Ovis aries: one gene and its partner. The protein of the gene in region 1 interacts with the protein of each later gene in a pairwise test. Links are inferred from orthologs where the notes say so. Each region holds a gene or a part of one and is shown on either strand. Other genes may lie near its edges.

Region 1 (6,272 bases):
ATAAATTAACTTGATTATTTATACAGTCTCCCCATATTAGACTGTAAACTTCCATTTTTTCACTACTGAATTGTATAATCTACACTTGGAACTGCCTGGCACACAGTAGGCACTCAAAAGGCATTTGTTTAAATGATACTTTAACACTTAAGCAGTAATCACGATGACAGATGATAACTAGACTAAATCCTTTCACAGTATACACCAACTGTATCAAGTCACTGTTCTACACCTGAAACTGCTACGCCAATTTTATCTCAGTCAGTATACATTTCATTAAATGGCAGAGCCAGGATTAGAACTCAGATATTTGTGTGGACATAAGTTTTTACGTCATCTGGGTAAAGAAGAAGAAGCATGACTGGTGCATCCTAAGGTAACATGTTTGGGAATTCAGCCGTTCTAACAGGCATATAATGTTATATCACTGTATCCATGTATGCATGCACATATGTATCAATATTTATGCAAGCCACTTGCTGAATCTCAGTTCCCCGACCAGAGACTGAACCCAGGCCACAGCAGTGAAAGCATCGAAACCTAACCATCAGGCCACCAGGGAACTCCCATCACTGCTGTTTTAATTTACAACTGACTGATGATATATATCTTTTCATATACTTATCTGCCACCTTCTTTGGTGAATCATGTGTTCAGATTAAAAAACAGGTAAAGGTTCTTTCTTTGTTATTGTTGACTGTTAAAAGTTCTTTATAAATTTTGGATATCAGCCCTTTGTCTGGTATGTGTTTTGTCAAGATTTCCTCCCAGTTTGTGGCTTGTCTTTCATTCTCTTAATAATGCCTTTCAGAGAGCATAAGTTTTTGCTTTTTAATTTTTAATAAAGTCCAACTTACCAATTTTTTTCCTTTCATACATTATTCTTTTTATGTTGTACCTAGAAAGTTACCACCAGACCTAACGTCACCTAGAGTTTCTATTTTACCTTCTAGGAGTTTTATAGTTTTACATTTGGGTCTATGATTCTTTTTTTTTTTTTTTCAATGTGTGGTTGTCCAGCTGTTCCAGCAGTGTTACTTGAAAAGACCATCCTGGGAATTTCCTGGAGGTTCAGTGGTTAGGACTCGACACTTTCACTACATGGCCCGGGTTGAATCCCTGGTCAGGGAACTAAGATCCCATGAGCCGCAGAGTAAAGCCAAAAAACAGAGAAAAAGAAAAAAGGACTATCCTTTCTCCATTTAACTGCCTTTGCCCCTTAGTCAAAGATAAATTCATTACACTCATGGGGCTTTACTTCTGGACTCTATACTCTGTCCCATGGATCTGTCTGTTCTTTCACCAAAGACCTGCACACAGTGTTTACAGCTGCTTTATTTATAAACTGCCAAAACATGGAAGCAACCAAAATGTCCTTTAATTGGTGAACAGATAAACAAACTGTGGCACATTCATAAAATGGACTACTACTCAGCAATAAAAAGAAATGAGCTATCAAGCCATGAAAAGACATGCAGGAACATTAAACGTATATTGCTAAGTGAAAGAAATTAATACTAAAGTATTCTAACTATATGACATTCTGAATAAGGCAAAACTATGGAGACAGTAAAACAGATCAGAGGTTGCCAGAGATTCAGGGGGATAAAGGGAGGGACGAATTAAGTGGAACCCTGGGGATCTGAGGGCAGCAAAACTTGTATGTGATACTGAATTGTAGGTACATATTATACACTGTCAAAAGCCACAAAATATACAACAGAACTCTAATGTAAACTACAGACTTAAGTTAACAACAAGGTATCAAATACTGGCTCCTCGATGTTAACAAATATACTACACTAATACAAGATACTAATAACAGGGGAGACACAGTGTGATGGAATACATGGAATTCCTTGTATATTCCACTTAGTTTTCCTGTAAACCTAAAACTGCTCTTAAAGAATATATTATTTTAAAAAATTATAATAAACAGCTCTGGTGAGCCATGCCCCTCCATACTGAGCCAAGCAGCACAGAGACCGACGCTGGGGCCTGCGATTTACAGCCTCCTCACCCACATGCTATTATCACAGCAAGCCACACAAGCAGCTTATCTTTTTTAAACCCAGGTTCAAAAGACATCCAAGGACTAGGAAGATTCTTACCAAGTGGAGTGACTCGGGGCTGAACGTCCTTCAGAACTTCATGCAGCCACTCCGTGAATCGAACATAATAAAGATCGGAGAAAATGTCATCAACCCGTCCGTTCTCAAAAAGATACTAAAAGGAAAATAATCAATAAAAGCTGTTGGTAGACTCTTGACAAGATGCTGAGGGAAGCAAACAATTACGAGCAGTACCCTCACATCTCCCTACCCGTTCGTCCCCCATTAACCAACCAGCACACTGAGTCAAAACCGCCCAGTGCGCGGCACTTCCACAGCATACTTCAGGATGGGAACTAACTCTCACAACACTCTTGAGAGTTGGCCAATGGAGCAGATTTCATGAATGCTACTTCACCCAAGCAAGGCACTGTCTTATGGTAGCAAAAAAGCATGATGCAGGCTCCAGGGCCAGTCTCTTACCAGCTACGGTGTAAGTTATGTAACTCATTTGAGTCTTGTAACTTTGGGGGCTCAGTGTCCTTGTGTGTAACTGGAGATGACTATGCCTGCCTTGCATGAGTGAGAGAGCATGGAATGAGACAAAGCACATACACTAATTCACCCAGTGCTCCCAGTGACTGCTAAAACAGACTAACAAAATGGGAGATGGGTTTTTCTCGGGCCCAAGCAACAGGGTGAGTCCCAGTCAGCAAGTGTTCTTCCATCACACCACGGGCTTCTCTACAATAGCATTCAAACACCAGGAAATCCCCATCTGGTCTCTGAAACTGCTGGTCCTAAAATGAATCTCCCTGTTCATCTTCATCTTAGATATCCTGAAAACCTAACTACAGTTGTATATTTTAGCTAGACTCTTTCAAATAATTATTTTGCATTAATGCAGGAAACAATGAGAAAATGAACTATATGTCAGCACCAGACTGTTCTGGAAAAATTGCTTTTCTGAAAACTAGATGTTTACTTTAACAAAAAGTGTTACATAAATGTTTCATAATTTTTTTTAAAAAGTCTCTAATGTAATATATCATATATTTTAACAAACATTTCTCTAGATTGAGGGATTATTTTATTATCTGATTTTCTAAAGTGAACATGTAGATCTTTTCCAATTTAAAAATAAAATGTACATTTAAAAACATTTCCAACTTTTAAAAAATGTACATTTAAAACCTCATTATATAGTTGGAAGAGAGTATCTTTACTGTTACCACTTTTGACATATTACTAATTTGACTACGCAGCAAATACCCAATGGGAACACAAGGCAAACAGGTTCCTACGCAGCTCGGTTCCCTACCTTTTGAATACACAGGAAAATGTAGTACAGCACATCTGGGTCATAGGGGTCACCTTCTCCATTTCGAGCTTCCCGTGTCATCAGACAGAGCCCATAATTCAACTCAGCCACAGCAGAGGAGATGAGATCTTCCTGGAATCGTAGCAACTGACGCCCTACAACATAAGTCCCAAAGGTCAGTGAGGGTCCTGGCAACAGTCATTTCCTTACTGGTTTCTCATATCCCTGGAAGGAGGTTACAGAGCAGACACCACCACCCATCAAGGCGCTGGGGTGAAAACAATCACTTGAATCTGTGATCAAAACTAACCTACAAAGACAATAATCCTGTTTGCCCTGTTACTAAAAGGGTTCCCGTCCCATCTCACATATCCCCCAATTATTAGGGCCACGAAATGAAAGCAAAAACACAAAACCCACCCTCTGTAATACGAGGAAGTATATGAGGATAATGCTAAGTAAGAGGCGCCCTAAGAACACTCACCAGCTCCTATCTCCTCCCAGAAGTCTCTGATCTTGGGCACACCCCACAAATCCTGCTCGTTTATAGCAGGTCCAGCCTGCCTCTTGTCTTGGATCCAGCACACTATTTCAGATGGAGCGCCCACATGCCCAGAGCCAAGAGATACACTTTCCTGCCATCCGTGCTCCTGCTGCTTCAGTGCCACTGCATTTCACACACAGTCCAACCCCCCTGCCCTCCAGAACACTTACTCCCAATGGGTGCCAGTCTGTTCTGAGCATCCTTCTCAAGCTCAGCATTCTTGGTCTGTGCCCAGTTTTTCCACACTTCAAGCCCTTCTTCTGGCTTCAGAGAATTTGGAAGCAGAAGTTCTGGTGAAGGCTGTGGCTGTGACTGGGGTTCAACTTCAGCAACCTGGACAGTTTGAGCCTATGAGAGAGAAATCATCAAAACGTGTCAATAGGTCGTTTGACAAAACAGCCAGAAAAATGCTATAACTCTTTTAACTAAAAAGCTGCTCTTCTGCTTGCTCTCCTAAACTTTGGAGTCCTGTTCTTTACTTCAGAGACAGCAAACGCTAGTACAAAGCTTCTTAATCTTAACTGTACTTTTGACTCTCTTATTTTAAAACACCAATACCTGAGCTCCACCCCAGAATCTCTTTTTAAAGAGGTATCAGTCTTTTTAAAATCTTCCCATGTAAAAAGGCAATTCTAATGTTTAGTCACTGCCCAGAGCTACTGGCAAAAAGCACTGCTCATCAACTACAATGTGCAAATAAATTTTATTAAAACGTGGATTCCGATTAGAAAGATCTCAGATGGGACCTGAGATTCTGCATTGCTAAGAAACCCCCAAGGAAGGGAGCTGGTCTTCAGACTACACTTTCTGTACCAAGAGTCCAGACTGTTAAACTTGGTTGCACCTTAAAATCATCTGGGCTGCTTTTAAAAAATATCCATGTCTGGGCCTTGTCCCTAGGGGCCCTGATTTACTTGGTCTAAGCTGGCGGCCTGCAGTCAGTACTTTTAAAAGCTCTCTTGGTTATTCTAATGTCCAGTCATGGCTGAGAATCATCATGTTTCTTCTTAATAATACTGCTTTGGCTCATAAGGACATTTTCTGAAGACAGGAAGCAATGTCTGAGCTTCCCACCTCCAAAGAGCAGTCCCATTCTCCATGGTCTGAGAGCTGAACTGTGCAGACAAAAGGACAGAGAATGTCCATGACCCTCAATCACAGTCCCCATTAGGCAGGACAGACACCAACACAGATACAAAGCACAGGTTCTTGGGTCTCACAAACCGGTCTAAATTGTAAAACAAATTCCCTAGAACAATTTTCTATTCCAGGGCCTACCTAAAGGGCTGACAAATGCCAAATCATTCAACTTGGAGGCTAAACAATGAATATATGACACATACATTTGCTTATCAATCAATAAAAATAAAAACTATCCAACTAGCTTTGATACAAGATACACTATTAAACAAGGAGACAACCAAATACCAGTGCCAGACTCTTAAACGTCTGTCAACCCTGGAGCTCCCCTCCAGACACACTTCTCAGTTCAACCACCATTCTTCTTGGTGAGTCTCCAACACCTGCCATTAGGATCTCCATGTTTGTGGAAACGGTTGCTAACTATGTGCCTCTAAGCTAGATCACGCCTTAATACACTCAATGGGTACTGTGTATCTCTGACTGAATATCTCAAAACCACCTCAAACTACTATCTAGGGAGAGAATTCATCGCTTTGCCCACCCAGAAGTATTCTCCTCAGACTTTCCTCCCTGTTGTTCAATGGCAACACTACCTACCCAAGTAGGAAAGCTAGGAGTCGACAGGATTAGCAGACGAGAGCAGTGCTTCTCTGTCTTAGCAGCCAGATTCTCTTCAGTGTGCCCCCACTCACTAAATGTAACACTCCCAACCACCTTGACAACCAAAATTCTTCCACACACATTCAAATGTCTATCAGTGGGTAAGGGAAATAGAAGTTTCATCCAGGTTAAAAACTACTGATGCAAGCACACCCCTGGTGTAGAGTTTTTCCTATTTACAATGGAGCCCTTAAAGAGCTGGGAAGTGATATAATCCTACATTTTAAGAATATTATTCTTGATCTATAGAAAATGGAATAGTGGAAGTAGGTGCTGGTGGCCAAGACCAGGATGGTGGCAGTCAAACGATTTAAGAGATTCTGATATGGTGGCAGAACCAACATGGCTTGTTGATGAACTCATTGTGAGGAGGAAGGGAACGCAGACTCAAGGACTCTGGGTCTCTGGCTTACATAACTAGGTAGATGACGGTATCATTTTCTGAGATGAATAGTTTTTCATAGTGGTAGAGGAGATGCTGATGAAGAGCTGAGATATCTTTAACAAATGCAAGTAAATAATAAGTGGGCTGCTGAACGTATAGTAAGGGTCT
Region 2 (6,272 bases), on another chromosome or scaffold:
GACCATCCACTGTCATCTACCCAGCTACTCAAGCCCAAGAAGCAGGCCAAGCCCTCAGCTGCCTCCTCAGCCACCTTCTACTTCCCATCAGCTGCCACGGCCAGAGGTGAGTGAGGCGCTGGCCAGCGGCAAAACACCAGGGGCTGACGGGAAACTCAGTCATTGTGATACTATGTTATTTTATATTAAAATTTGATTAACTATGGAAATATCACAACATTTTAATGTAATATTCTAACATATCAAAACGAATACTTGAACCTCACAATGAACCAAAATGCTTTTTTTTTTTTTAAAAGGACAGGATCACACTCTGTCCTGCATGACTGAGCCTGACCGGGGTCCACTGTGCCTACCTCCCAAATGGCTCTCAACTCCACTCCTTCCTCTTAGGCCGATCCCCCACCTGGCTCAGGCCCTCCTACCCTCCAGCCTGGTGGGAGAGCCTCGAACTGACTGTCCTGCCCACGAACACTGCTTCTAGAAGTCTTTCTAGAACACATGTCCCCAACATCTGTTCCTTGACCCCTCTGGCCTGTGAAGCCCACTGTGGGATAGTCCTGCTGGCCTGCCCAGCCTCAGTTGGGATGGAGGCTGCTCTCTCTGCCTGGAGCACCCACCCCAGGCCTGTACCAGCCCCTCTTTGTCTGGGTTCAAAGGTCACACCCCCAGGAGAGAGGCCTTCCCCAGTCCCCACAGGGAGCACCTTCCTGGCAGAGCCATGGCCTGGCTTGAGCTTGTGTCCCTGAGGCCAGCGCAAAGCTCAGGGGGTGGGCAGCAGAGCAGGCCCTGGCTCTGGAGCCAGCGCCCTCCACAGAGGATGGTGTGCTGAAGTATGCTGCCCAGAGCACCTGAGGCGTCTCGGGGCTGAGGGAGGCCGGGGCGTGGGACTCACCTGGTGGAGGGAGGGGAGGTGATGGACCGCCGCCCCAGGGTCACCTGGTTGATATTGTAGTAGCTGGGACTCTCCAGGTCTGCCAGCGAGAAGTTGGGCCCTGATGCTGTTGCAACAGGAGCTGGGAAGAAGGGAGAGTGGGATGAGGTCTGGAAAGCATGGGTGCCTGTTTCGTTGCTGGGAGCAGCTCCCCGGAAGCCCTGGGGTGAGTTCACTGTGAAGGCTGCTGAGGAAACCTCCTCCTGGCTGAAGCTTGTTGGGAAGATTCCTTGGTTATGATTTTTTTTTTCCTCCATAGCAGTGGAGGTCAGAGGTGGGGCTCTCCAATGCCTCCATCCCACCCAGCCCGGTGCCAATGAGGCCAAGCATGTCCCAGGAAGTCTGCCTGCCTCCCCCCCGACCTGAGACCCCATCAGTGGGGGACTCCATGGGGTCCAAGTCCCACCTCCTCACCCTCATCCCTGCGGACCCAACCCTGGCCCAGAAGAAGGAAGGACTCACTCTGTGATACTCTCACCAGCTCCGTCACATTCCAGACCCCGGAAGTCACAAAACAGTCCTGGAAACTTAAGTGCCCTGAGGAGGGAAAAGGGCAGGTGAGCAAGTCGAGGCACAGCCAGGAGGGGCTGTCTGCCTGTCTCTCCCGATCCCTCCCCACCCTCAGCTTGTTCCATCCCATGACCCATGTCCCAGCTCCAGGCTGGCCCTCAGAGGCCCTTAGATCTCCATGGATGTGGGGTATGCCCCCATGAGTGCCCTCCCCTACGGAACAGCAGCCTCTGTTCAGTCAAGGGACAGCTGAGTGAAGCGGTTGGCAGGGGCAGGCCCACCCTGGCCCGGGAGGGCAGAGAAGGGTACAGGTTGGACGCTGTGGTGGACACAGCAGGCCAGGGAGGCTGGGTTCAGGCAGGAGGGCAGGGGGCACTGACCGTTGGGCAGTGGTTTGATGTCCGCATCTCCTTGCTGGTTTGAACTATCTGATTGTCCGGATTCTGCGGGAGACAGAAAGGGTAGGGATGGGTCAAGAAAGTGCCCCACGCTCACCAGGCAAGCAGCTGCCCCTCTAGCCCTATGGACACCTTCTCTCCCACTCCCTTCCTGAGCAGCCCAGGGAGGCCAGGAGAGAAAGAATGGCTGCTGCTGTGGTGAGGCCCTGCAGACTGCAGGGTGCTGGGCAGCATCTCTGGCCTTCTCCCACTAGATGCCAGCAGCACCCCAGTTGTGACAACCAAAAACCAGTCTCCAAACACCGCCTGAAGTGCCCTGGGGGTGAGCAGCCCATGAGTGAACAGCCCTGGCCAAGAGTCAGGGCAAGGAGGCGCCCGGGAGAGAAGCCCCCGACTGTCCCTTTGCACAGCTGGTTTGGACCCAAGGGGTCCCCCGTTCTCTACCCCACTCAAGCTCCAGAGGGAGCAGCCCTTTCCCTCCCTTCATTAATTAGAGCCAATGCTGCCTGCCTGCGCCACCCCCACCTCACCTTTATGCATACAGGCAGTGCCTGGCAACTCGGAGGGGGGAGATCTGCCTTGATGCTGTCGCCCGCTCTGTGCCAGCCTGTCTGGGCTGTCTCATGCCCCAGTGCCACAGCTGCTCGGAGGGAGCCCTGAGACAAGGGCCCATTGTGCGGTGGGAGCTCACAGAGGACTGGGGGCAGGGTGGAGTGTGTGTGTGAATATTTTGCTGAGCTTGGGAAAGCCCCCCGCCCCTGCCCCCCAGGTCCTCGAAGCTTTGTGTGCCAGGGGCACAACGGGGACCTCCAGAATGCTTGCCTGGGCACGACAGCTGGCGAGAGGGTGGCGGAGGGGGGCCAGGGCAGGTTGTGGGGCAGGAGAAAGGCAGGCATTCAGTAAAGGATCAGCTGCTCATGGGGGGACCACATGGGGTGGCTTCGGAAAACTGGGCCGTGCCATTGGCCAGGGCTCCGCTCCACTCTTTGGAGTGACCCTGCCTCCTGGGTCTCACCCGCCACCCCACAACCGGCCCAGTCGCCACGGAGGCCATCCTCTACCAAACTTGCGGTCAGACCGCTCACATTGGGGAGTGAATAGCAAGGAGGTTCCTGAAGAGTGATGTGGGCCCAAGAAATAGAAGTGGGGGGATCCTGCAGCCACTTGGGAAAGAAGGAAGAGCTCCAGTTGTTGGGGCCTTCTCAGAGCTAAGGCCCAATGATGGCTCAGCCAAGCTCCCGGCCTCTTGCATCCATGTGGCCGGTGGGAAAAAGACAGGCTGCCCCCAGGATGGTTTCAGGCCCCATCTCCCCCATCCTTTATCTTGTTTCACTTTTTTTTTTTTAACGTATTTATTTGGCTGTGTTGGGTCTTGGTTGTGGAACGCGGAACCTTTGTTGCAGCATATGAAGTTAGTTTCCTGGCATCATAGTTCCCCTGGGATCTTAGTTCCCCATCTGGGGATCCAACCTGCACCCCCTGCACTGGAAGGCAGACTCAACCACTGGACCATCAGCGGAGTACCTTTTTAGCCAGCCTCTACTTTTTAAAAATTCCAAATGGTAATAATAATGAATCCTGTCACAAATCAAGAAAATGGAGGTTGACAAGCGAACAGGACCCCTCACCCCCTTGTGTTTGGGGCGTGTCCTTCCACACCTCCGTTTGCACCCACCCTAGCAACGCTTTTAGGGATGGCAAATTCCATCTCAGGCCACTTCTTTGTCGTGGTGGCACTCTGCTTTGGAGAGAGCCCGTGGGACTTCCTCCCACACCCTGGGGAAGGGCAGCCTCTCTCTGCATGTGGATTTTCTTGTTGCTCTCTCCTCAGCTCATTCCCAGCTCTCTGGGTCTGATTCAAGCCCTAGCTGGTCCAGGAGGGAGCAGGCAAGGGGTTGAGGCAGTAGGTGGCCCACCTTAGGGCCCCCGTGGACCAGTGCCCCAAGCCTAATGTCTCTCAGGGCTGTCCTTGCCCAGATTCACAGCCAGAAAGAGCACAGCTGCAGGACCGGCGTGTGGAGCCCAGCGAGGGGCACACGGTCAAGGCGTTGCTGCAAAGGCTTTGTCCTACTTGTCCCAGGACCAACTCAGTCCCCACAGAGCCCTCCAGGCCAGGGACAGTGGAGTAGAGGGGGATGGTAGGAGGCCATCCTATTAAGAGTGGTCTCAGCCCTTCAAACGTGGCCAGGTGGAGACAGAAAACCACGCGCATGCGCACACCCGGCCCGGGGACAGAAAGACGAGAGAACCTGACAAAGAGATGGAGGTGGGCCAGCGACAGAGGCAGAGACAAATGGGGCTCCAGGAGAGCGCGACAGACAGGAAATCCTTCTGAACCAGGACGCTGCCCTGAAACGTTACTGCTGTTATTACCATTAGCGCCATGTAAGGGAGCAGGCAGGAGCGGGGACCGGCGCGCGAGGCCCGCTGCCACGCGCCTGCAGGCGGTGCTCCGGGCGCTGCTGGCAGCCATCTTAGCCCTTGGCAGCCATCTTACGGCTGGCGGCCCCGCCGGCGCCCCGCACTGCCCCTGCCGCCCGCCCCCGGCGAGCGCGGCCCGGCTCCGGGACAAAAGGCAGGGACGCTGGAAGCCTGCGCCCGGGCTCGAGGGCAGGGGCGCCGGCCCGGCCAGCGGGGCAGCTGGGGCTGGGGCTCCACTGTCTTGCCCAGGCGGCGCCCCTGCCCCCTCCTGGCCCGTGCAGAGCAAAAAGGGCAGAGAGGCACGAGCCTGCTGCCGCCCGTGAGCTGCGCAGTGTGGCTGAGCGCCCCTCCTCAGGCCAGACCCAGACCCAGAGCCTCAGTTAGTTTACCGCCTAGACCCCTGCCCCAATGAGGTGACGCGGGCCTCAGAGGACAGTAAGGGGAGAGATGGGGCAGGCCCTCGATCACTCAGTCAGCTTGGAGGTGGGCACACGGCGAGAGGGGGCCACTGGGCCGCTGGTGGACAGGCTCCTGTGGAGGGCGAGGAGATGCCCCCCAACCCAGAGGCAAGAGCCCGCCAGGCCAGCTCCCTGAAGCCATGGGCACTCTGGGGAGCTGTGGCCTCGGGCTGGGGCCTGCTCTGGACAGGCCCTAGGGACCAGGAGCTCGACCCCAGGCTGGCACCCCAAGGAGCATGACACCCCGGTGCCTGACCCCCTTCCCTGTCGAGGCTCCCTGGGGAAGGGAGGGAGTAACCCCAGGCCTTGGGACAGAGAAGGCAGGCCCCTTTATGACACCCCTCCCCAGGCCCCGCCTCATGGTTGCTTGGCTTTTATCTCACAGAATGGGGCTTATCAGAGCCACCAGCTGAACAAACACACAAATCCACGGTTAGTGAGAGAAAACCCTCTGCCTGAACTCTTTATCTCCTGTTCACAGGCCCCGAGCACTGCCCCCTGCCAACAGCACAGGAGAAGCCCTGACTGCTGCGCCATGAGGGCGCCTCCCCTGGCCACCCCCCTTCTCCCCTCGCCCCAACCCAGCGCGTGGTGGCTGTCCCCTGGCAGTCCCTACCAGGCGGGCGTGCATGAGTGAGCTCCTGCCACACGGGAGCCCCCCTCCAGTGTCTGCTTTCTCACTGGGGACAATGGGCCAGCTGGTGGCCTGTGGGCCGGTGGACGGGCAGAGAAAATGTTGGCTGGCACCAGGCGGGCAGGTGCCCGGCTCCATCCTTTATCCTCTCCCGCCCAGCCCACGCCCCCGAGGCTGTCACTCGGCTTCCCCAGCCTTCCAGGGCCACGTCCCCTGGCAACATTTCCGACCTTGGCTTTCTCTCCAGCCTGGTAAACCGAAGCAGTAGGGACCCTAACCACCCACTCCCAGCTCAGGGCCACCCTGACTGAACCCCAGCCCCCAGGCCTACAACTCTCTTCAGGGACAAAGACTGCCTTGACTTTCTGGAGAGACTGTAGAGAGGACGGAGGGGCCAGAGGCACCGCAAGCTCCGTTCAGTCCTGAGGTGACATGTTCCTGCATCTCGGTGCCCAGGGCCAGACAGTGCCTCCTGGGCTCTAAGCCTCTTTCCACTTAGCCATCACATGCAGCTTCCTCAAACCCAAGTCCAGCCACTGTGTCTGAGGATGGCTGCCTGGGTGTGCAGGCGTCAGGCCTCTGCCTGGTCCAGGCTCAGGGGATGAAGAGAATTTTGGAGGCTGCCGCTTGTCCTTGAAGCCACCAGGGCGGCGAGGGCTGTGTTCAGACTGGCTCACGTCACGTGTGTGAGCGCAGGGTCTGCTGCACGGCTTCCTCTCAGGACCGGGGTACTCGTGCAGTCCACACCCTGGGGCAGAAGGCAGGACTGCGTGGGGGTGAGTGACGAATCTGGGCTCTTCCTAGGTGTGGGACCAAGTGGGCTCCGCAGAGCAAGGCTCTGAAATGGGATTGGCACTCAGGTCCCAGGCTGCTCTCCCTTCATCCCCTCACGGCTTCGGTCACCCCCACCCCCGGGT

Evidence for each region. The genes of interacting proteins can lie anywhere in the genome.
Region 2: the proteins of QRICH1 (region 1) and NFIX interact in binary tests that used the Homo sapiens proteins (3 or more experiments, as listed by UniProt). The two-hybrid records come from large-scale screens. The link is inferred for Ovis aries from reciprocal best matches to the Homo sapiens genes QRICH1 and NFIX.

The regions. Positions count from the first base shown.
Region 1 is NC_056072.1:50,996,014-51,002,285, reverse strand, and holds part of QRICH1 (transcriptional regulator QRICH1), read right to left. Parts: intron 4,265-6,272; coding exon 4,087-4,264; intron 3,528-4,086; coding exon 3,373-3,527; intron 2,227-3,372; coding exon 2,112-2,226; intron 1-2,111. UniProt on the Homo sapiens protein: Transcriptional regulator that acts as a mediator of the integrated stress response (ISR) through transcriptional control of protein homeostasis under conditions of ER stress.
Region 2 is NC_056058.1:10,804,793-10,811,064, forward strand, and holds part of NFIX (nuclear factor 1 X-type), read right to left. Parts: intron 1,888-6,272; coding exon 1,825-1,887; intron 1,472-1,824; coding exon 1,397-1,471; intron 1,017-1,396; coding exon 896-1,016; intron 1-895.